4 linked regions of the Drosophila melanogaster genome follow. Changing the gene in region 4 together with the main gene of any one other region gives a genetic interaction. Each region holds a gene or a part of one and is shown on either strand. Other genes may lie near its edges.

Region 1 (7,814 bases), on a different chromosome or scaffold from region 4:
CACAATATTAGTTTACTGCTATTGTGGAGCAAAGTCGCAAATATTTCCGTAGCCAAAGTCACGTTCGCCCACCTGATAACTTCCAGTCACTGGGTTGCATTATCAGGTTGGGAATCTGCTGCTCGGTAATGGGAATCTCAGCAACAACAATAACTAATTTGTTGACTTTCGACACTCGAGAGAATTCTCGATTTTGTGACGTGAACTATTCATTAATCTCCTTCATGAAGAAAATAGATTGGACAGTTTTGTTTTCATATTTTTGACCAAACATTATCTGATCTTAATCAAATGTTGAATTTTACTAGTACACAATATGACGCATCTAGAACCAAAAAATCGTATTTTCCCCTGACTCATTGTTTTCATCTTTTGTAGCCTTCCGCTTCTTGAGAATCTAGAATCTTCATGTTAAGCTCATAGTCTGGTTGACTAATTACACATTTATAAATATTTACAATCTTGTGTCAATAAATAAAAACAGCGTTTTTTACCCCAGAGCCCTAAAGAAACAAATTCGAATTATTCTTGGTGAGATCAAATTTCAATGTATTATGTTCTTTTTTGCAATTTTCACTTACAAGATTTTAAGAGTACACAAAGCGTAATACAGAAGTATTAAATAATAAATAACAATTTGCATTCGTTGCATTTTTTAACATGGAAACTAATGTGTTTTAAAGCCCAAAAGCAAATCAGGGCGACTGTCCTTTGATAAGATCAACAGTTTGCAAAAAAATTAAAATGTTAAATGTATTGTACATAGGTAGGTTTTAGGAAGAATCGGTTGCAGAGAGGAGGCTGCGGAGCGGCGTGATTCTTGAACGAATCGAATCGGGGCTGCAGCGCGATTGGAAGGCAGTGAGTTCTTGTGTGTCTAAGCTTTAAGTCTTTGTTGGCAGTACCACCTGCAGGAAGACGACGTGGAACGCAGTCGGAGTCGGCGCGACCCGGAAGGCCAGGATGTCCACAGTGTCATATCATCCGATATGCCCAGTCCCGGCGGCTAATCAGTCGGCATTCAGCCGGATGCAGCCAACGCGCCAGCGTGTCCCAGAATGCAACCCGTGGGTGACTCCACGAGCTCCAATCAGCCCATGTCCACATCCGTATCGGGTTCGGGTTCCGTGGACAGCCCATTGGCATTCTGAGCCATTTGGAGCGTGGAGCGCGTGTAGTCCAATGGCTCCACGCCAATGTCCTCGTACTCGTGCTTGTCACCCAAGGGACAGAGTCCTTCCTCGTCATCATCCATCGCATCGGCGGCAGTGCCTTCGTCCTCCTCCGCATCGCTCCAGTCCTCGGCCACCTCCACGTCGACTGGCAGGTACATGTGGAAGGGGCGCTGCTCTCGCAGCCACGGGGTAAGGAAGATGTGGCTGGCGGTCATTCGTTCCGTGTAATCCTTCCGCAGCAGCGAAAGCAACAGCCATCGCACCGACTTAGACAGCGTCAGGGGTATCTGGACATTCCCGTGGCGTATGACGGTGATGAGGTTGCAGTTGGCCTTCTCGTAGAACGGGTACTGACCCACCAACATGGTGTACAGGATCACGCCCAGCGACCACATGTCCGCCGGTTTGCCCTTGTACGTTTGCTGGGGGCACAGCAGTTCTGGAGCGGTGTACAGTGGGCAACCGATCTTGTCGCTCAGAGTATCGTCCTCGCCGTCGAGGATCATTGAGCCTTCCAGTGATTCATACTGCAGTTTCGTTCTGTAATTAGCAAATGACAAAATCGAATAAATAATCCGCCAAAATAGGGTACAAAATATATGTTTATGCTTCTTAGAAATAAAACTAACAGTCTTTTTTTTACCCGTTTCTATTAATATGTTGAGAACTATTGTTGCCAAAGAAGAGTAGATATGACTGCAACTTGAGTTGGCACTGCCACTATTCTGATCGCAACTGTACCCGTTCATCAGACCCATCGTCGAGCTCTACATCATGTGCAATCCCTGGGACTTGCATAACCCCCGATTTTGTGGGGCCATTAGCTAGCGCAATATCGAAGAGACTTGAATCGATCGGCCACGGAGCTTCAGTTTCAGTTGTAGTTGTCTTTGGCGTTGGCGTATTGACAAGTCAAAAGGCAAATTGGCCGAGAGAGCACATTGTGAGCTGAGCTGAGTTGACTTGGATTGGTGACGAAAGCGCAGCTTGCGACCCCCGACACCCATGAGCGAGTGCCGCCGCCGCCGCCGCCTCCGCCCCTGCACTCCACTCCACTCCCCCTCCATTGGGCCACTCCACTCCATTGACATTGGCCCACATTCGAATGCAAAAAGCAAAAAAGTAACGAAAACGCCAGCGAGCACAGCGCATAGATCCAAAGAGAGTCCGCTGTGTGAGCTGCGTGAGTAGTAAGGTGAGGTGGAGTGACGTATCGCAACTTGTTGCTGCAACGGCGCTTCTGCTGGGACCCGAGCACCACTACCAACATTGGGTATTCCGCCGATAGCGAACGGAGCGATATACAAACACACGGTCGCCGCGGTCTGGTATCCAAACATCCAAAGAGCCAAACACAAAGCAGGCCAAAAAAACCTCGAGCTGACCCTGAACAAAAACAAGCTTTGAAAACGCGCCTCTCCTCGGCACAAATCACAGTGTACACTGAAAGAAACAAATTACCTTCAACTTGATAGCAACAGGTGGGCAATCAATAAGAGGGAAAAGAGATAGCGCATTTAAATAATATATTCAAAGAACACGGTTCTTAATTAAGAGCATGTTTCTATACATTTGTTTTCGGGTTTCATTTGATTTTTGTGTCCTCTATCGTCTAGTTACCCCATTCGATACAGAAACATTATAAACTTATATTTAAGATCAAGGCAAGCATATATAATTATACTTTTAAGATCAAGGTTTTATGTGAACCAATATTTATATTTTTGAGTGCACGGAAGGCAGGTGGAGATGTGATGAGGAGAATAGTTACAGCTGCTGACCTCGATGCGCGACATAACCGAGCTTTGAAGAGCGTCTTGTGGATCTCTTCTTTCCCTCTCTCTCTCTCTCTCGCTCTATACGTTTGGCACACATTAACCCGCGACAGAGGTTAAAATAAAATCGGAATCGAAACGAAATACGGAAAACCGGCGCCGCATAAATGCTCAAACACCTTGGAAGTATTTACGTACGGCAAAAGAGTAGACAAAATAAAAGTATGAACCAGAGATTTTTACATGCATAAGCATACGCATTTGTATATGGGAGGCACTGGCATATATGCATGTACATAAATGCGTTCAAATACAGAAGATCAGAGTCAGGGACATTCACCGCACTGTGACCTTAAAAATTCGGCTCGTTATTTGGTTGTGCGTGTGTGTGGCCGCCCCGTTGGACATATGTAGATATGGATATGGCCACGCCCATAGCCCATATAGTATGTATGTACACCCAGCGAGCACTTATCTATATAGCGATGTATTATTCGAATGGAAATGGGAATGGAAGTGAGCGCCAGTAATCGCAGCGCATTTGAGTCGTATTGAACACTTGTTGTTTATTTCTCGCCAAGGTGAGAGAAGTATAGTATAGATAGAGATCTATGGGTTGGTTTCTTCCTTCCGCCGTTTTGCACTTGGCACAGAACGACGAAATGACGAAAAAATCAGCAGATATTGCGCTAATTGCAGAGTCATACGAAATCGACCAAATGTTCAAGTCGTTCCATGCTGATGTCAGTACAATTTCGAAGATAATAAGAACGGGAGACAGCGCGTTTTCGATACAGTTGTGTTAATTAACATATGCGAAAATACATTTTCGATGAAGGTGGGGTCAATATTTCATCATCCACTGTAAACTCACACACGGGAAATCGACAAATCAAGCGAACGCCGAGTACGTGGCCCACAGATCCCCACCCCAAAACCATATTGCAAATGCTATGTTGAACAATTCTTGAAATGTGGCAATTTCTAGCTTCCGAAATGTGTAATGAAAAAACGAGTGAGCCAACATTTTGGCCATCAGTGTGGCACATTGGGCCCTTGTGTACGAGTATGTACACAGAGATACAGTCGGGGTCTGCAAAATAAGGCATATGCTTGCTCACTGAATGGCAATTCAATGATATTACATAAATAATAATTCTTTAGCTACAAAGCTAATACACCATGTTAATTAATAGTTTAATAATAGGTGTATTTCAAAAACTTATCTTTGAAATTATTTAACATTTTTGATCTTATTCCCATTCATTTTTGCAATGCTTCGCATAGTAGGAATATATTTTTACTTATAAAATTAGTTTGAAACTACCATTATACCCTGTGCTGTACATACGTACGCCTTGCGTTCATTCGGTTTGTCAGTATAATTGTTGTTGTTGGCCTATTGGTGATTCGATTGCAACACTTGTTAAATGTTCAATGTTACCCACAACGACGGCGCCAGCAACAAAAACAAAAGCAACAACAGCAGCAGCAGCAGCAACTACAACAACATGGGCCAATAACAAGAGCAACAATTGTGGCACCACCAACACACGACCACAAACAAGATCTCTCGCTCATAACGAGTTTCCATCGAATTGCAAAATAAACCGACTAGCCAGCCATATGCAATTGAGTTGGTATAAGTCAGGCATATGTGGCGTATATTGGTGTATATGGGTTTTTCGAAGGTGTCACCTGGACACGCAACTCACCTGGCCTCGTCGATGAAGTAGAACCGCTTGAGCTTGAGGTCCCTGAGGATAATCCCGTTGCGGTGGCACACCTGAACAGTCTGACAGATCTGGTGGAATATGGCCCTCGCCTCCGTCTCGCACAGTCGCTTCGCGTGGCGGATGTAGGTGTGCAGGTTCTCGTACACCCCGGTCACCCCACCCGTGGAGTCCCTCTCCTGGGGCACGGGCGCAATGAGGATGTAGGTGCGATCCTTGGTAAGCGGTATGATATCGTGCACGGGTCGGATCAGTGGATGGCCATAGATGGTGCTCCGGCGTAGCTCCTCGTCGTGCTGCTGCAGCTGAAAGTAGGCTCGTTGCACCTTATGCAACGGTTCGTTTACAATACGGCAGAGGAACTGCTCCCCGGTGAAGATGTCCACGCAGCGCAGATTGGAGGCGGTTAGATCGACCAAGTGGCGATACGAGGCGGGAGTCTTGGCAGCCACGGCGGCCGATATGTGACTAGGCTGTGCGCTGATCAGATAACGCTGTTGGATGAGCTTGACGGGCTGCTGGTCTGTGGGTTCCGCTGCGATGCCCAGGGCCAGAAGGTCACAGGCTCCGCCGGGCGTCATTAGCTTCTCCCTGATGGTCTGCAGCATCTTGGCATTGGGGAACTCCTTTTTGGGCGTAAATAATCCCAGTACGGTGTCCTCCTGGCTGCTACTCATGCCGCTGCTGCTGGATGATGAGGATGAGGAGGTGGCGGCTGCGACTCCTGGCGAGACTGGTGACGAATAGTTGACTATTTTGCTTGTGGACGCTGACGAAGCCGTTCTGCTGTTTTGACCGCTACTGTTATCCATGCTTGCTTGTGTTTACCACTTCACTTAACTTTATCACAGTTCTTGCTCTCGCTACGTTTTCTTCGTCTTATTCTCTGCTAATGCTTCTTCTTACTAATTTTGTTACTCCGCTTTAGCCTGGCTGTACTTGGCTGTTAATTGTTTTGACATTTAGCGACGCGCCGTTTAGTCTCCGATTAAATTCGATTTAAACTCTCGTTTAAACTCAGGGCTACTACTACTTCGGTAGTTTGGCCATTTGCAATGCGGGTACTGACGAAATGCGGCGATTTTAAAACAAATCGGACGCTGCTCACTGAACTCGCGAAACGAAACGAACGCGACCGTCTTCTCCGCAGTTTGAATTTCAAATGTGACCATCCACGCGGTCGGAAGAAGCACGAAGCGAAGAGAACGGCGAAATACAACGGCTCTCTTTCGCACCCTCTTGCTCGCTCTCACTGCACCGATCCTTCTCTGCCTCGCTCACACCCGTTGCAGGAATTTAGCTCAATGCGGTCGGAATGGAAAGAGAAGTGGGAGACCAGAGAGCGTCGTTATTTTTTGAAATCCAAATGGTTGGGAGAGAGAGAAAGAACAAGAGCATCGTTATTTTTGAAAAAATTGCGCTGAACGCTGAAATTCCGATTCCAACTGAATTCGAAATACGTAGCTGTATGAACACTATACCCACAGCAACCCTTAAACTTTTCTTCTACGATTTTACGTAGTAATCTGCGCACCAATAAATCGTGGCGATAAGTTAATTAGAGGGGGTTAGTAAACTGATAAAATCCACAGTTTTAAGATCAAATTAATGAAAGTACAGTCAGCTTGAACTTCGATTTTGTTTTATTGAGTACGGGTACGGATATCGAAGGCAGAAACACCCGTATAACCATCTCTATAACTCGAAAATATCTTTTGTGGTTTCTTGGCTTGGATACTTAAGGTTTTCTCCTGCTCTGATAAGGTAATATTTTACAAGTTTGGTTGAAATTATTTGTTTTCCCATAGTTACGAAATTTTTAAACCAAATTCAATGATGATGTGCAGTTTTTGAGTAGTTGCTTTGCAAACTACTATTATTATAAAAAAACATAAAACATAAAACATTTTAATATCCTAATATACATACAAATTTAAAATTAAGAAATTTGTCTTCTTAATACTCCAGATTAAGATCTCTTATATCCCTAAGTATATGACCACAGATGGACATTTCAGATGTACAAACATAGTTCTAGTAAATCCTAGAATTTAAATAAATGCTCCCAAACTCGAATCTTCAAATAACGCTTCAATCTCTTGGATCCAAATCGATCATTGAATTTTTTCCTGTGCGAGATCATTACTCATTTGTGTGTGTGTATGTGGATTTACCTTGCTGTTTACCTCGCGGTGCAGACGATTTCATGATTTTTGCAGCTGTCCGAAACGAGGATCACTGGGCTACGCAGGAATTACGACAGCAACAGAAGGCAGTTATCCGAGATCCTCAAGGAGCAGGTAAGAACCACCGAGCGGCATTATGTCGCAGGTAGATTCCTACATACATATGTCAGCTGCACTATTCCACCCCTAAGCACTATATGGCAGATATAGTGCATCGGTGCAGGGCTGTACATGCGATGCAGTTGCAGTTGCAGCTGGCGCAAGGTGATTTCCCACTAAAGACATCCGTCTGAGGATACACAGGAGCACATTCGCGGTCACAATAATAGGAACTATCGCAATCGAATCTTTAGTAATTGGAAATGAGGGTCTTTAAATATAATTTTTAAGACCGAATTGTTGGACTAAAAGACCTGAAAAATGTATTTTTAAAATCGTTGATAGAATTGGTACAATTGTAGGTTAGATATAACTCATTTAGTTTTGAATTTTTTCATTCTGGGATACTGGGATTTTGAATACTAATATTTTCACCGCAACTGTTTATGCAGGCTTGTATTTCGTCCATTGGTTTTCACCGATCTCTTCGATTGAATTCTTCATATTGTAACGCTCTTTTTGAAACGCAACGTCCGTCTTTGCTTCTTCTTCCCACGAAGTAGCCGATAAATACGAATGCGAAAATCGCGAACAGAACAAATAACACCAACAAACCTCTCTTTTCGCCCGTCCCTTTTCCAAAGTCTTGCATCTGTTTCTCGAAAGGAAGATTGAAACGAGAATTATACTGGTACCGTGACACCAATGCAACCGAAAAGGGGGGAAATTATAGGGGTGGCGACATCAAATTGAATTTGAAAAATATTTTATTTGCATACGACATACTTATTTGCAAGCAATTAATGTTTCACTCTGGTCACTGCACTCACTTATACGATTAAATAG
Region 2 (4,555 bases), 2.7 Mb from region 4:
AGCTTGGGCATCACATAAGCCGGGTTTATGGACGACAATCTTCCAATGGTAACCATTGCCAGCTCCCGGATCTCAAAGATTTCATCGTGCAGCGTAATAAATAGCGAATTTAGAGACTCTGGCTGAGCAAGCTTCCCATCAAAGGTCTCGTCCAGCGAACGTAGAATTCGTATTCGCACATTACAGTCCATATCAGTAATGGCTACCATAAGCAGGCGCTCAATCACGTGGGAAACGGTGTCGCTGAGGGTCTTGGAGTTCTCCATACTTTCAGAGGATTGCACTGCCAGTTTAAGGAGTCGTGTGCATGTTTGCACTGCCTCCAGACGAATCTCCTGCTGCTCGTGAACGATGAAGTAGTCAGCACATCTGAAAAAGAAATCAAACCTTGTAATATAACTAAAATATAGTAAATTAAATTAAATTACCGTTGCACAAAGTCCAGCATGTTTTGCTCCTCAAAGTTGAAGGTACCCAGCGTTTTGAGTGCCAGCACTGTGGTTGCTCCGTCACCATTCTGCATTAGCGAGCCATCGATGGCGATCGTTGGCAAAGCAGTGTATGGTAAAATTGCCGCCTTGTTCATCAGCACCTGGGATAGGATTCCGATCAATCCTTCTGTAATGGCCGACTTAAGCTGCGGCACATTCTCGGAGAGTTCCCTCAGGCAAACAGTCAGAGCTGGCGAGAGACCCGTGTAGAACATCTGCTCAAGGATATCCTTAACATCGTCGGCGATCTCCGACTTAACGGCATGAGCAAGAAGCGTTATGCAGGCAAAGACCGCAGGATCCACTGGTACCTTTCGTTTGCTGGTCAAATCCTTTGACGGCAAGGCGACCTTCACGCTAGTCATTATACTGGATAAATGAACTTCGATCGCACTCTGCACCGCTACAGCCATGTAACCAATGGTTATGTACGCCACCGTGCGATCCTTCTCCTTGCCTCGCAGGATCTGCATTAAATGCGACACGCATGTCTGCAGGTATTTTTCCACAAACACCGCGCGGTTAAAGGCAGCCAATCGAGGAAGTATTTGAAGGAGTGCCTGCTGTACATACGGAGACTTCGAAGTTCGCTGCTCCAAAACATTGTCGCAAATGGAGGTGTAGTGCTCCTGAAGGATCTCCTGAGCATATGCGGACTCCAGTACGTTGTGCTGCTGGATGTCGATATTATTAGTTACTTGCTTAAACATAACTAAATAGTTTGTATTTTAAATTAACAAACATTAAAATATCTTTTTTGTAATGAACAAATGGAAAATATACTATTTTAATACAAACATGCTTGTCTAAATGATTGCCGCCCCACAATTACTACTGGTAACGAATCACACTCTACTGCTACATTTTACACAATTTTTAAACTATAATTAGGTCAGCTGATTTCCTCCCGTCAGGCATCGCTTGGTTTTTAGATACATGTAAAGTACATACTACGTAAACCAAAAGGTAAATAAATGAAAATGACAAATACATTCGTGTGTGGAGGTATTTGATCGTTAGACTCACGCTCGCGAACTTGGCAACTCCTTTGTGATGCTCTCCCTCACCCAAATGCGTTTGGGTGCTGCCGAGCTTGTCAATGAAGGGCACCTTTAGCCGCGGCACTAGAGTATTCAGCTGGGAACCCATACTCGACGAACTGCTGGCCTCCAGGAACTTATTGTGTTGGGTCTTGGGGAACAGCGTCTTCAGAGACGTGTAGCGCCGCTCCCAGGTGGCATTGGCACAGCGAAAGAGCTCGTTGAAGACGACGAGGCCACCGTGAATGCGATCGTCTCGGGTCACGCCTTTCTGATCCTTGCTAGAGCCCAAGTCTGCATTGAAGCTTCCATTCGCCTCGTCATAGCAGATTCTGTACCACTGTGGTTCACTGGACTGCTTGGTGCTCTCTCGCTGAGCGGTGACAATCAAAGCCGCCCTCAAAGCCTCGCCAGCTGACTCTCGTATAGCAGGTTTGGGATCGAAGATGGCGTTAAAGATAACCTCGAAGAAGGTCAGGATGTGCTGGTAGAAGTATGTGGGCAAGGCGATAGCCAGCTCACGGAGGATAAAGACGGCTGAATGGCGGCGGTACTGAAAAAAATAATATATAAATGAATTTGGATAACTCTAGCCATGCTTACAACTACTATTTTCATTTTCATTATAAAGTTTTTCCATCTTCATCTCAAAATCAGACTTAAAAGCTTAATTTGTAGGTTTCCCTTATAATTCACCTCTTGTCTCTCGCCTCTGAGCACCTCAAAAGCCTTCTTAATATCAAAGTCGAAGGAATCGGCGCCCTTGGAGGTGGGCATGTTGGCCAATTTGACCAGGGAGCGGGCGGCAATCTCCATGACGGACACATCGTTGATTAGCAGAAGATCGCGCAGGCGGTTGAGATAGGGCGAAATGCCCTTCCTGGCAGTAAGACTGCCCTCGCAGTTAATCAGGCACTCTGAAAGGGAAGACGTTAAATCCTCTCAAGCACTGCCGGGGAGCCAGGAACTCACTCATGGCCAGGGCACCGCCTTTTTTCTCGTTGATATCTGTCGCATTCACCATCGTGAAAATGTGATGGTCGAACTCGTCGAAAAATTGGGCCAGCTCCTCCTGGGACATTTCGCGTAGCTCGGTCTTCACATAGAAGAGCAGATCCTGGGTTGCCTTGTTCTGTACATTCCGGTTGCGGGACTTAAGCCCGTTGACGAACTGCTGCACCACCGACGTCGTCGACATGGCTGGGCAGGGTTTATTCACTATTTAAACGCGATTTTCACTTGCATTTGGGAGGGGAAAGGGTGGAGCAGGTGCATCTGCCTGCTGTCTACGGACTTTGGAGGTTATCTTTTCAGTTGCCCCGGGGCGCTGTACGCACTGTTCCACTGGTCACTCGATAGGATTTCATGTGCCGGCACCGGTGCCGAACGATCTCACACGGATGCAGGTCCTTTGCTTTCTTTAATTGCGGATTACTTCGGTTTTTACGGAAATTTATTGCAGCCGCTGCCGATTAGTGATGTAAAACAGAATTCGATCAATTTACAATCGATATTTTCTTGCTGATACTTCTGTACTTGGCGGCGACTTATAAGCATTTAAAATGTTAGAGAACATATTAAATAAAAATAATAAAGTAATTAATAAATTTGTTCTTTATTATAAGCAATTAAAAAGAAATTGGCTTAAAGTTGTGGTACAAAACATTTATATTACTGGAGTGAACAAGTTGCATTGAAGAATTTGGAAAATAGCACAAAAATGCAAGCTTATGTTAAATTTTTAATAATTACCAACAAGTATTTCAAGATTTAACTGCGGAATGTGCTAGTGGAATCCGACTATTAATGTATCGTGACGTGCGTGAGTTTGATGTGAGCCCATCTCTATAGAGAACCTGGAGCCCTCGACGATAACCGATAGATCAATACTAGAGTGAAATCAAAAAAGCAAGAGAATTTTCATAAGAGCTGTTGAAACAAATGTGAGCTTATTTAATTTTAGAGCAGCTGAAAAAGCAGTTTTTACGCCACAAAACCACTGACCACAAGGTGTTGAATGAAAAGAAAGTGTGAAAATTGCTTTTGTGATGGGTAAAAGGTGGAAAATTCACCTTGCCGTTGGTGGCATGTGTGAAAATTGTATTGGAAAATCGATGCTGTGCTGCGGGGGTGTGAAGCTTTTCACTGGGGGCTGCTGCTGCACATCAGCGCCACCTATGCGTTTCCTCGCGGAAAACGCTCTCTCATTCGGGGGCATGGAAAATGCGTGTTTTTGTTTATAAGAAAAACGGTTACTTTTTCCCACAGCCAACGAACGATTTGACCGTTACCGAAGCAGAAGAAGAAGAGCAGCAACCGCGACCATGTCCAACTTGAGGAAATTCAAAGACGAGGAGCGCGAGTCGGAATATGGCCGTGTCTACGCGGTATCCGGACCAGGTAAGCGACGTCACCAGCGTCCTTCATGCGCTGACCCCCAAGTTCTGTAATCCTTAATCCTGCCTTTCTTCTGTTCTTAATTATACTCCTCCACATCTTCCTTTTTATCCTTCCTTATTATCCTTCTCCTTTTCATATTTCTGTATGCTTTCTTCCCCCTCCTCCTGTTCCGCATAATCTTCCTCATTATGCTGCTCTCTCCACTCCTTGCTAATCATATTTCTCCTGCTTTTCCTCCTTCAACAACTTTAAATCCACTTCAGTGGTCACCGCTGAGGCCATGTCTGGATCAGCTATGTACGAGTTGGTCCGCGTCGGCTACTACGAGCTGGTGGGCGAGATCATCCGTCTGGAGGGCGACATGGCCACCATCCAGGTGTACGAGGAGACCTCTGGCGTGACTGTCGGCGATCCGGTGCTGCGTACCGGCAAACCTCTTTCCGTGGAACTTGGACCCGGCATTATGGGCAGCATCTTCGACGGCATCCAACGTCCTTTGCGGGACATTGGTGTCATGACCAACTCCATCTATATACCCAAAGGTGTCAACACAACTGCTTTGTCGCGCTCGGAGATGTGGGAATTTAATCCGCTGAATGTGCGGGTGGGATCCCACATCACCGG
Region 3 (4,613 bases), on a different chromosome or scaffold from region 4:
GGAATGTACTCACTCTGACTTCGATCTGGTTCAAATACAGAGCGTCGACTATTGCTTTCAGGCCTGAGGGTTTGCTAGGATCACAGAATTCGAGGGTGCCCGTCCAGCTGCGCAGCACAGACAGCAGTGCCAGCCGACAGCTGGTGTAGCGAAGTTCGCGCGCATCCCTGAAAGATAGTTTTATTTATAAAAGAATGATGTAACTGATAGCGCTTATCTACAACTTGTAGTAGTACATCTTGTGAAAAAACTTCAGTAGATGTTTGTGGGATAGTCTTGTTCGATTTTCCAAAAGTGTTTCGCCCGATTTAACTACTCATTTAGAGCATGAAACGAGGTCAATGGCCGTGCTGCCTTTAGTTATCTATTTTAGAATTTCATGTTTGCATCCGCTGTTTGATAATCTCAAAAGACGGCGTGATGTTCATCGATTATTTGGTTACAATTCAACAGCAGATATAATTACTCTACATTAAATTACTTTCGGCGAATTAATGAGTGAAGTGGATCCGTCTTACATCTGGCTTGATAAACTGCTTTTTGTTTTGGGTAACCCATTTGTAGTATTCTGCAGCCAAGCTGCAGTATTCAAGGAGGGATTGGTGGGATCTTCACTAGGGCACTCACTTGTTCTTATCGACGATACTCTGCCGGTAGGTGAAATCGCAATAAGGAGCTGCCAGGCAGTCCAGCCGCACACCGCAGATGTTCCTCGTTTGCGGCCACTCGAGCAGGTACAGAAGCACGCCGCACAGGCTCTCAGCGATGCGGGGATTGTGGCACTCTAGCACATTGCGGGTTATGGAGGTGACGCCGCCGCAGACGATCAGCAGCGCCGGATTGAGCACAGCGAACTCTGCCAGGGTGGCCAGGCAGGCACGCAACAGATTGTCGTTCTCCTCGATGCCGCTATCCGCCAGCGAGACCAGGCAGCGCACCACCGCCGGACTGATGTCCTCCGGCGCGATGGCCAGCATCTTGCGGACCAGCTTCAGTGCCTGGACGCGCTCGTCGTCGTTCTTCAGCATTAGATCGATGGAGCGGCAGAGCAGGTGCTGCAGCTGCAGTGCATTGAACGTCTTGATGTCATTGGGCGTGCTAATGGCATACCGGATCGTTCGCAGTGCCGCCGCTCGCACTTGGGTGAAGGTGTGCACCAGTGAGGCACTAAGGCTGCAATTAAGGGCGATCAATTAGCCATGTTAAGAACAATGGTTTCCCCAACGGGCATCTTACCAGTAGAGCAGCTCCTCGGTGGTGAAGCGTATATTGCTGTGGTGGGAGCCCTTTCGGGCCCCCAAACAGAGCGAGGCCAGCGCGTTGAGCAGAAACAGGCGCTTCGTGTCCCGCGTCTCCTCCAAACAGAGCATCGAGTATATTTCGAATGCATTTTCGGCGGCCGATCGCTGTGGATCCAGGCGGTAGAAGTCCTCCGGATCCTGCGAAACTGTAATGGAGGAAAAGTTTCATTGCTTTTCTTATCAGATCCGTACACACTAATTACTAATTAAAACAACCTTTTATGAATGAATAATATGGCCACATCGATGTACTTGAATATTACATAAATATTATTTGCAAGTAATAGCTTTTTCGGATATGCACATGTTCAAATCATCATAGTACATGGGGTTTTTACGGTCAAGAGGAGGTGCACACATGCATGCACACAGCGACTTGCATTAGAAAGCCATCAAAGTGAAATTGATCGTGGATCGTGGAAAGCTAATCAGCTCAGCCGCTGCCTCTGTCTCTGCCGACGCTGACGCAGGCTGTGCACGTGAAATGACAACAACACAGCGTCATAACAGTTTCGTTGTTGTTGCAGTTGTCGTCGTTACAGCTAACTGTACTTGCATGATGGATTTGGTTGGAAAAGGGGGAGAGCGACAGAGAGAGAGAGAGAGAGAAAGGAGAGAGCATGACGAGCGAAGAAGAACGAAAGAGTGAAGGACACGATGAATGGAAGAAACCAAGCTGAGCATTTCGTATGTTATTGTTTTTGTAGTTCTAGTAGTGGCTGTTGTTATTGTTGTTGTTTCTGCTGTTGCTATCGCTGTTATTGTTATGGTCGATGTTTAGTGAATGTCTATGTTGTTGCTTGTGCTGCGTCATCGTTTTTGGGGGCTCTCTCTATGCTGTGGCGACCGTTCTATAAATAATCGGCCAACATGTAGTCGAAGAATTTGGTCAAATGGCAACAGCAACAACAACAAAAGTAACCAAAATAAAACCAAAAAATACATAAATAAAAATAAAAACTAAATAGAAAATAGAAACGAGAACAACAACAAATGTATAAATAACGGAGGAAACACTGAGGAGATCAGGAGAAATGTTGATCAGAATGCCATGCTGTCGATACATGCGTACATCACTGTTGCATCGCTGCTACATCGTTACCGTTATGGGCAATGCTGCCAGTGTGCTCATTCCCGCCCCCCTCAACAACATATTATTGTTGTTGCTAGTTGCCATCAATGTCAACAAAAAAAAGAACCCTTTGCTACCAATTATTGGCCAAGTCCAATAAACAGAAGGCTGCTGGAGGGGTAGGTGGGGTTGGGGATGAGGTCGGCTCAAGATCCACAACAACAACAACAACAACAACAGCTGCTGCTGTAATGCTTATGCCTCGCCGTAATGCAAAATAATGCAAACTGAATGGAATGGCGGGGGTCGGTGGGGCGAGCCATGTGAGACAAAACGTCGAACGGAGTGATTGCGCCATTATGCCGATGCCACCGTCGCCGTGTTTGATGTCAATTAGCACATTCGTTACATTACCTTTGATGCGTAATTGTAATTTGCTCCGCTTGCCAAAACGCCAACTGGAATGTTGGGAGGCCATCGCGTTGCTTCGCCTCTTTTTCGATTCGCCGATGGGGGCGTGGCGAGGCGGGTGCGGCGCCGTCGCCCGCTCGCCTATTAGCTGTATGTCGAACACACACCCACACACCACAACACACAGATCACACTTAAATATATTGCTTTTCAATTTCACTTGCTGCACAATTTACATTTTTTTTATTGCTCGCCGCTTTAAAGTGACCGTCGTCGGCGCAGGAGAAAAAACCAACTACGAAGCGCCACCGCGGGCACGAGAATTTGGAATATTTACGCGACTTTCAATGAAAAACATTTCATTTTACACTTACATCTTACATTTACATTTGACATACAATTTTGCTTGCTTACTTCCTCTGAAAGGCTAGTGTCTGTAATATAATGAATTTCTTGTGCACTAATTATAAAAATTGAACGGAAATATTCAAAATATTACCTGAGAAATTCGAGGACAGCTGAATTACCCCCAGATAGGAATTCTCCTTATCGTAGAACTATTTTATATGATTATAAATTACGAAATTAAAACAAATACTGTAAGGGAAAATTTACTTAATATTCTTCTGCAAGATTATTTGGTGACTTTTTTTTTGGAGTCAATATATGTCATGTGTATTTACTCTACTTACTAATTTACATCAACTTGTTATATTAAAGCATACCGAGGTGCACAATTAATTTTCGTCACAAAGTAACAATGCTATTAACATATCGTAAATACCACACATGCAGTTGGTATTTTCGAAGGAGCCGCAAGCGGTTACACGGCCGCCCAGACTGTTATCGAAGTCGAGTATGCTCTTCCTCTTCGATAAACGCAATATTTTGCAATAAAGTAAATTAGTTTTAAAACCACAGTGGCGAGCACTTTCTGAGCAACTCGGCAGCCGCAAGCACTGTTCGCGCGTATCCGGTGCACAGGGTGAGCCCTTCGCGAACGCGATACACCCCACTACGCTCGAATTGTCCCGAAATCGTTGTTTTTGTTGTGTGTGGTGTTGGCTAGTGTTGTGCTCTTCATTGCCTTCCGTTTTTGCTCTGTGTATCTGTGCTCGGGTTCACCAATCCAATCGCAACGGCCAACTGATGAGTCTCAATTGTGTCCATTAACGCGACGCGAGTAGCACCCACCCACCCTCCTCCTCCCCCCTCCAACACTTGCCAGTTGGGCCCGCGCCCCACTTCACACCATCACCGCCAACGCCAGCGCCCCACCCGCAACCCCTCCTCCAAATCCGAAACGAAAACCAAATCCCAATCCATATAGTAATACCCAACCCAACCACTGCGAGATGGCCAGCAGCAGTAGCAGCAACAGTTTTGGGGGCGTGGCCGGCGTGAACGGGGATCTGTGGCGCGAGTGCGTCGCCTGGCTGACCAGGTGCAAGGTCATTCCGCCCGACCACAAGGCCGCCCAGCCGGACGCCGAGATCCGCATCCTGGCGATGACGCTGCGCGACGGCGTGCTGCTCTGCAACCTGGTCATCCACCTGGACCCCAGCAGCTTGGATCCGCGCGAGTTCAATCGCAAGCCGCAAATGGCACAGGTGAGTGAAATGCGAGAAGCAAGTGACTTTGCTGGCAAATTGTGAATGGGTGGCACACTCTAAACCTTGTAAACAAGCAACACTGAGAGAAATAGGGGGAAGTATATCTGTAAAAATAATTTAAATCATTAAAACAAACATCACTTACAATTAGTGACAATAATTGGCCAAAACATCATAAATTCATAAAGAAATAGAATATGCCAAATTTATGCACGA
Region 4 (6,930 bases):
TCCGAATAATTAGTCATTTTTAAAATTAGATGTCGACGTTAAGATGCGAAATTCTGACCGCCCAGTTTACGTCAATTTAACACAATAATATATGCCCGTCAAGATAGCGTCAATTTGGACAACATTTTTGTGTTGGGTTTATTGGAACTCGGAAGTGGAACATATGTTAGGGGAATTATGGGAAAAAGAGTAAGAAAAATAACTGGTAGCACTTAACGTAGAAACTGGAATAATCATACTTTGAATATTTATTATTAATCTGATAATTACCTTTGTGAATCCTGTATGCTTTGCACAACAATTGGCAAATTTCAAGAACCTCTTATTATTTATTTATCTTAGCTATTGCCTCATTTGAAACTATTAGTTAAATTCCAATAAAATATGAGATATCCATTTAATCGCTGCACTTTTCGTGTCGAAAACTAGTTTCGAGATCAAAACTATAAATTTAAGTATTTTTTTCTAAACGTCAATTATTTCTCCCCCCTTACTTTAGACAAAAACCCAAAGTTCGAATGAAATCTACAATACAAAATGTACATGAGTTTATTTAAAATAATTGTTAAAACTACTTAAATAAATATCATACAGTATATTTACAAATTCGAATAGATTAGCCAATTACTTAGCAATTTTAATTACTTTGCTAAATCACCAAGAATTATAAGTCCGTAATAAGCATTGATTACAGGTATGTTGATTCACCTGGAAATAAAGAAAAATATTCATTTATTAGTTTAGATTTTTTTGCTCAAACAAGCTTAATGAATTTATTAACTAAAACTCAACGAGAATACGATAAAAATCAAAATAGCATGAATGAATTAAAAGCAGAAGACTTTTGATGATGATGAAACACACAAAAGACACATTCTGCTTCAGGATATTTAGTTTTCAACAGCAACAGTGAAATAGTCGAATTAGTCGAAGTTCGACAGTTCGGTGCTAGTTTTGTTAAATGAATTGAGTAGAAGGACAATGGCAGTGCCCAGAGTCACATACTTATGAAGCGGTGAGGGATGTGTGATGAAAATCGATGCGGATACTGATTAAGGATTGCCGGTTAGTTGACCATTCGAGCCGCAGGCATGGGCTCCCACTCACTCACCTATGTACATTAAATTCTAAACAGATGTGCAGAGCGCAGCTGTAATCGATCGTTTCCCCGTGAAAGGAAGTGGATCTGTGTAAGCCTGTCTCTGCTAGTATACTCGTAAAAGTCTTGGGGACATATAAATCCAGTTCTGGTGGCTTCGTTTTATACATCAAAATTAAGAGATCGTTCAGCCAGAAGTCTTTTAAATCGTCTCGGGTGATTATTCTGGCGAATTCAATAAGTCAATAAGAATATAAATGTGTGGACGATAGCATATGTCGATAAAGGCTATCTCTTTTAACAAATCTTAATTTGAATACTCATACAATACAATTAATTACAAAATCAAACCGATAATGGTCCAGAAATCAATTGAATCGAAACTCTTAGTATTAAATAAATGTGAAATTAGAACAATTGTTCGGTATTACTCGATTAAAACGGATAGATTTTTAGTGAGATCTGGTCATTGAGAGTATAGTGTGCAGCAAACTCACCGGATTCCCAATCTTCCTCGCCATCTTCGGTACCACAGTTGAATTTTGGAGAGGATTGTTTACATGTGATGTATGAATTGTAATTGATGTTCTTATTTTCGTTTATACTTCGAGTGTCAGAGGTGATATGAACTTCACTATTCTGCCATTTGATTAAATCAGTTTTCTTAATGGACGGTTGATTAAATATATGATTTCGTTTTATTTCCTCTTTTGTGGAATCATTCAAGCTTGGTAAAAGAGTTTTGCTATTAGGCTGTTTGCGTTTGCACGCAGTCGAAGTATTTTTTGAATTGGTTGATGTGTCGTATTGAATTTTAGTCTACGAATATTAGATTTATAGATTAAGCATATTGATCGGCGCAAAACGTGTTTTCACTTACAACTATATCCTTATGATCCAACGTTTCTATTGTTTGACTTTTCGTTGTATTATCATTGACGATCGCAGTTAAGACTTTTTTTTCGGCATAGCAGTTTGGAGACAAACTGTCATAGTCTGATCTTTCGAAATTTAAAACATTTTCGTTTCTCTCTTTTTCGGACGCTTCAGCTTGAACATCATTGCTAAAATTCTCTGCCTCAAAAACGATTGAAATCTGAAAAGAGAGCAAGCACATTTATTTGGTAATTTCGCAGCATCTATTAAAATGCTTCGAAATATCCTACCTTGAATTCTTCTGAAAATCTTTTATGTTCACTGTCTTTATGTACATCATCGATTTCTGATTTGCTTAAAGTGTGTATATATTTGTTAACTGTTCCATCGGACTCGCAAGCTAAAGAGAATGTTTAATTAAATCGTTTATTTAATGCATGTGCGATATTAAGTATACTTACGTGAATAGTTTCGTACAAAAAACGTATTTAGCCAAAAGTGACAAATGATTTTATCTGGGGATTTTTTTGTGAGTTCAAATTTTACATCGCCGGAAACTGGTATTGATGGTTTAATGGTCAAAACAAATGATTTTTGAAAATCAATCGGCAAGGTTTTCAGTCTCTGCAATTATAAAAAAAAGAAGAATGTTACTGCTGGTTAGAAAGGTATTCGAAAAGGAACACTTTACTGCACTGAAATCGTGTGAAATATACATTTTTAAAATGCTGTCTATAGTCTATCAATGATGTATCTATATACTTTATATACTTACATCTGGCTTTGCATTTTCTGTGGCTGAGTCGTGTAATACAGATATTGAACATTCTACCATGCCTAAGTTTTGCACACAACTGGACTCCGAGAAGCGTATTTCACATACCTGAGATACAAAAAATGCATATTTAGATTTTGTACGGCGCTGAATGTGGCGCTGCTGCTGGAAATACTCACGTTAAGGCTTACTTTCGAATATGGAACACTTGAACAAACTAGTTTGGAAAAATACTGAACATATCGACGCTGAGATGGGATTGTCACACCTTTTCGGTCCTTTGTACGCTTCTCATCATACCACGCTAATGCCTCGTCGGCGGATTTTTTAATTCCACTGAACACTAAATATGCGCAGATCATGGTACCTGAAATGAAAAAAAACTGGGTTAGTTTTTTAGCCCTACAAATATCGAAACAAGATCATAGTGTGCCATGATATTTATGAACTTTCGCACAAAATGTTGAACACATTTCCTACCGGTTCTGCCCTTTCCAGCTTTACAGTGCACGGCTACAACATTGGACGAATCTTCCTTGAGCCACATATCAACATCACTGCAAAATCGTTGTATTAACTCAATCGTTGGAGGGTTATGATCATCGAACGGATAAACAGCTACTCTCTGTAATGCGAAATAGTATATTTTACATATTTTACGCCGACAAATAGAAAAAGTTCAACAAAATTACCCCGCGAAATTTAGCAACGTCGTAACTACGCTCCGAGCATAGGTTATAGATTTTGTAATGCTGGGCATGATTCTCTTCCAATAGCTTAAAGACATCTTCCAGACGGTTTCTGAATAGGCCCTCTAGTTTATCCGGTGCTGGATAGCCCATGGCAATTATGTTATCATTAATGTCTGTGGGTAAATAGATAATTTAATTTAATATTCCAATGATTGCGGTTGATTCAATAACTTACATGTTAAATCCAAATCGTATCCTTTTTCTTTGTATCGTATACGTTTTTTACTCACTACATTGCGTATCACGTTGGACATTAACGAAATAGTGTTGGCCATATTTTTAAGGTTTAAAGACTTGTCTTTTTTATTTAAATTAGATTAGCTGCATCCATTCAAATGTATTTGGGAACCAGTGCTTGTCTTCTATTTACTCCATTGCAAAGTGTACGTTCTGAAAGGAATGTAAAGCATATTAATTAATATGCATATGATTCTAACTAATCTGTTTATTTTCCACAGCAAGTTAGAAAAGTATTGACTCAATTCAGCTTAGTTTTCTACTGCGAATTCAAACCTAAATCCTTTAACAGCAGACAAGTTTCTAATATGGTCAATAGAAACTGCTTAATTATACTGTGCCAAGGCATTCTAAAGGGATATATGGAACTAATATAATGGGCTTGTTTTCTCCCGATCCACTTAGGTTGTTCTATATAAACTAATACTTCTTACTCGGCTAAGATATATTCCTGTTTGCAGTTCTTGCTTGGATACATATTTAAGCACGTACATACACATACAGACAGAGGTGCACTCTCTATAGGAATAGTTCCCTACTTGTTTTCCCAGGAACAGGTAAAGAGTTAACTTCAGTTCGGTTTATATATCCACAAATATCCTTAGCACAAACATGCACACACTCACACACACTCGCACATGCACACGCACATATGTACATACACACACACACACACACAGGCAGGCATTTGCGGCACACACGTGAAACATACTTACATGTATCGGCATATTATCAAAGATAAACAATATAACAATCTTCCGCTTGGCATAATACATTCAGATTGGTTGTCAAATGGTCCTGGTTTTAATTGTAACTGGCTAACAGAACAGAGTTCTTTTATTGAAGCCCAACGCACGGCGATTTCGATACGAATTCGAGCAATTAAATGGGTTCGTTGGCTGAGGGGGCGATTTTCGAGGGGTGAAAATCAAAATCAAAATCCGTTTTAGAAACACCGAGCAGTAATTTCGAATTACTTAACATAGCGACTGATTTGGCAACTGTTTTTTGTTTTATCTCGCCGAGTAGACACACTTTTTTGACAAACTGTTTGCGAATGGTGGTATGTATTGTAGTTAGAGCACATATGCATGTACAGAAATATGCAGATATGGATGATGGGCATGTGCACATATATGCACCGATTTTTGTGCATTTATGTACATATTTGTTTAAACAAAAACATATTTACAATTCCACAGACATTTTACACATTTACACTATCAGCACCACACGAATATATGTGCCCACTGTTTAATACATATGTATGTATGTGCATATGGGTATGTTTAAGTCAATAAGCTAAATGTTCCAACCGAGCAGGTTCTGGCTACTGCATTTCAAAAAGCTATCACATGTTTTGCTCTAAGCCACGAAATTTCAAATAAAACTTTTCAATTATGTGTAAAAGTTAAACAGTAGCGCTCATGCTCTATTAAATGTATTATTAATTTATCAAGCGTGAGATCCACAGGGTGTTTACGGCGAGCGATACCACCACAAGATTTGAGAAAATGTACATCCAGTGCTATCGACGTGCGTGGTGCCCTCTCGATTAAATTGTGTATGCAAAAACTATCGATGGGTCATCGATACAACCATTTATTTTTTAGCACTGCGGTTTTAAACAATATGTAATTATCTATGCATTTATTTTAATCTTATTAAACAACACACATATAACTTCATGCTACCAAAAACATGACTACCAACACATCTTTTACTCGAGTTCTACCCACGAAACTAATATTGCTACAGCTATTAAAAATTCCATTTCTTGCAAAACCAATATTATTTTTGGTATGCAATTTTTTAAAACGCAAACATTTTTAAGATTTACGAATACCTTTTATTTATTTTTTTTTCCAGCCATTGAAATGCTATTGAAAACTATCAGTTTGGGTAATACCATTAATGTAATCCTCTCTTTTTTTATTTACAATCGATAAAAGTGCAACAGGTTTTTTATGGGTATTCGATTATTTTGACATAAATATGATTGGAATTTAAAGTTCCTTTATTCAAAAGCAAAACCTGCTATCTGAATAATTTAAAATTTTAAAAAATTTTCAAAACTTTAAAAATTACACTCGTATCTTAAGGCTAGTTGGTTTCCGCAAAATGAATTCTTGGTACCACTTAATTCTCAACTGTTGACTTTAATTCGTAACTTGAATAAATCAAAATAGGCCAATCATCAGTAAATGTTATTGAAGCAAAAAGGACTCGAAGACGAAGAAATAAAAACAAGTGTTTTGCCGTGTTAACCAATTTCTCATTTATTTGTCTCGCTTTTTATTTGTTTAAAAAGTTTCTGCAGTCCATCGTTTAAATATTTAATAGCCCCTTGGGCTAACTAACTAATCGTCGTTATCATAAGTATTGCTTAGCTATGTTTTGAACTTTAAGCAATCTAATAAATCTGAAAGTGACGTTAAGAGATACTCCAACAAATGACCTGTTAATTTAGTTAAATGAAATAAAACATAAACATTAAAACCGATGCGCTTAATATAGTTGCTTGCAGCATTGGCTAGATTTTTGCCGTTTCGACCCAACTACAATAAGTTATAGATTTGTATAGTATTTGTCTTAATAGGTAAAAAGTTAGATCGATGGATAGTACACATGCAATATTTCTTACCAAAACGTAAAGTCAATGATTTGTTTGTAAACACTTGGCGGTTATTGCTTTTTAGGTTTTCGAGATTCAGAAAACAAAGCAGATTTTCGAAAACGCTTTCTTACCAGTTTCGGACTGCTGACTGCTTCATTTCGTAGGGTTTATTACGATGGTTATAAGAGGTTCTGTAAAAATGAACACCTACACAATTCCGAGTTCTCAAAATTCTTTAATGTTTTAGACCAATTATTTTGCGAAAGCTTTTATGTATACGAGAAACTGTTCCGCATTTCCTTTATTAAAATTGCGTACTTCTAGATTTTGGTTTGACGTTGTTCGAGTCTTAGCGTATTTTTCTTACTAGTTTTCTACGTTATAACTTAAATTTTACGTGCTTGCAATTGTCATGTTAATGGGTATTCGTTAAATAAATAATGAAGAGACGACGACTATCAGTTTTTTGTTTTTTCTTTTTTTTTTATCATTCTGTTGTTGTTGTTGATGTGGGGGAATGAGGGAATCTGTTGGACGATCGAAAACGATCGAATGCTACGATTTTAAATGTTTG

Evidence for each region.
Region 1: of Pten (region 4) and trbl, changing one suppresses a phenotype caused by changing the other (phenotypic suppression), as found in Drosophila melanogaster (one study listed by BioGRID).
Region 2: of Pten (region 4) and mTor, changing one suppresses a phenotype caused by changing the other (phenotypic suppression), as found in Drosophila melanogaster (3 studies listed by BioGRID).
Region 3: of Pten (region 4) and rictor, changing one suppresses a phenotype caused by changing the other (phenotypic suppression), as found in Drosophila melanogaster (one study listed by BioGRID).

What each region holds. Positions count from the first base shown.
Region 1 is NT_037436.4:20,395,761-20,403,574, forward strand, and holds trbl (tribbles), read right to left. Parts: upstream 5,850-7,814; 5' UTR 5,496-5,849; coding exon 4,666-5,495; intron 1,716-4,665; coding exon 1,091-1,715; 3' UTR 528-1,090; downstream 1-527. UniProt on the Drosophila melanogaster protein: Adapter protein that negatively regulates different signaling pathways to coordinate cell differentiation, proliferation, migration and growth.
Region 2 is NT_033779.5:13,002,960-13,007,514, reverse strand, and holds the start of mTor (mechanistic target of rapamycin), read right to left. Parts: upstream 3,036-4,555; 5' UTR 2,730-3,035; coding exon 2,504-2,729; intron 2,449-2,503; coding exon 2,228-2,448; intron 2,085-2,227; coding exon 1,518-2,084; intron 1,166-1,517; coding exon 429-1,165; intron 370-428; coding exon 1-369. Other genes in the region: Vha68-1 (vacuolar H[+] ATPase 68kD subunit 1), read left to right, coding at 3,856-3,931, 4,195-4,555. UniProt on the Drosophila melanogaster protein: Promotes cell and tissue growth, maintains tissue homeostatis and controls responses to environmental stress and aging. Regulates growth during animal development by coupling growth factor signaling to nutrient availability. Central regulators of autophagy.
Region 3 is NC_004354.4:19,258,200-19,262,812, forward strand, and holds the start of rictor (rapamycin-insensitive companion of Tor), read right to left. Parts: upstream 3,042-4,613; 5' UTR 2,852-3,041; coding exon 2,788-2,851; intron 1,645-2,787; exon of another isoform or gene 1,546-1,644; coding exon of another isoform or gene 1,518-1,545; intron 1,448-1,517; coding exon 1,237-1,447; intron 1,174-1,236; coding exon 628-1,173; intron 168-627; coding exon 14-167; intron 1-13. Other genes in the region: Vav guanine nucleotide exchange factor, read left to right, coding at 4,140-4,394.
Region 4 is NT_033779.5:10,255,799-10,262,728, forward strand, and holds Pten (phosphatase and tensin homolog), read right to left. Parts: upstream 5,252-6,930; 5' UTR 5,056-5,251; exon of another isoform or gene 4,787-5,055; 5' UTR 4,456-4,786; intron 4,190-4,455; exon of another isoform or gene 3,893-4,189; 5' UTR 3,778-3,892; coding exon 3,678-3,777; intron 3,616-3,677; coding exon 3,443-3,615; intron 3,376-3,442; coding exon 3,231-3,375; intron 3,118-3,230; coding exon 2,930-3,117; intron 2,859-2,929; coding exon 2,751-2,858; intron 2,600-2,750; coding exon 2,437-2,599; intron 2,376-2,436; coding exon 2,266-2,375; intron 2,196-2,265; coding exon 1,980-2,195; intron 1,919-1,979; coding exon 1,597-1,918; intron 1,325-1,596; coding exon of another isoform or gene 1,320-1,324; exon of another isoform or gene 1,112-1,319; intron 709-1,111; coding exon 689-708; coding exon of another isoform or gene 655-688; 3' UTR 521-654; downstream 1-520. Other genes in the region: CG5676 (uncharacterized protein), read right to left, coding at 1-17.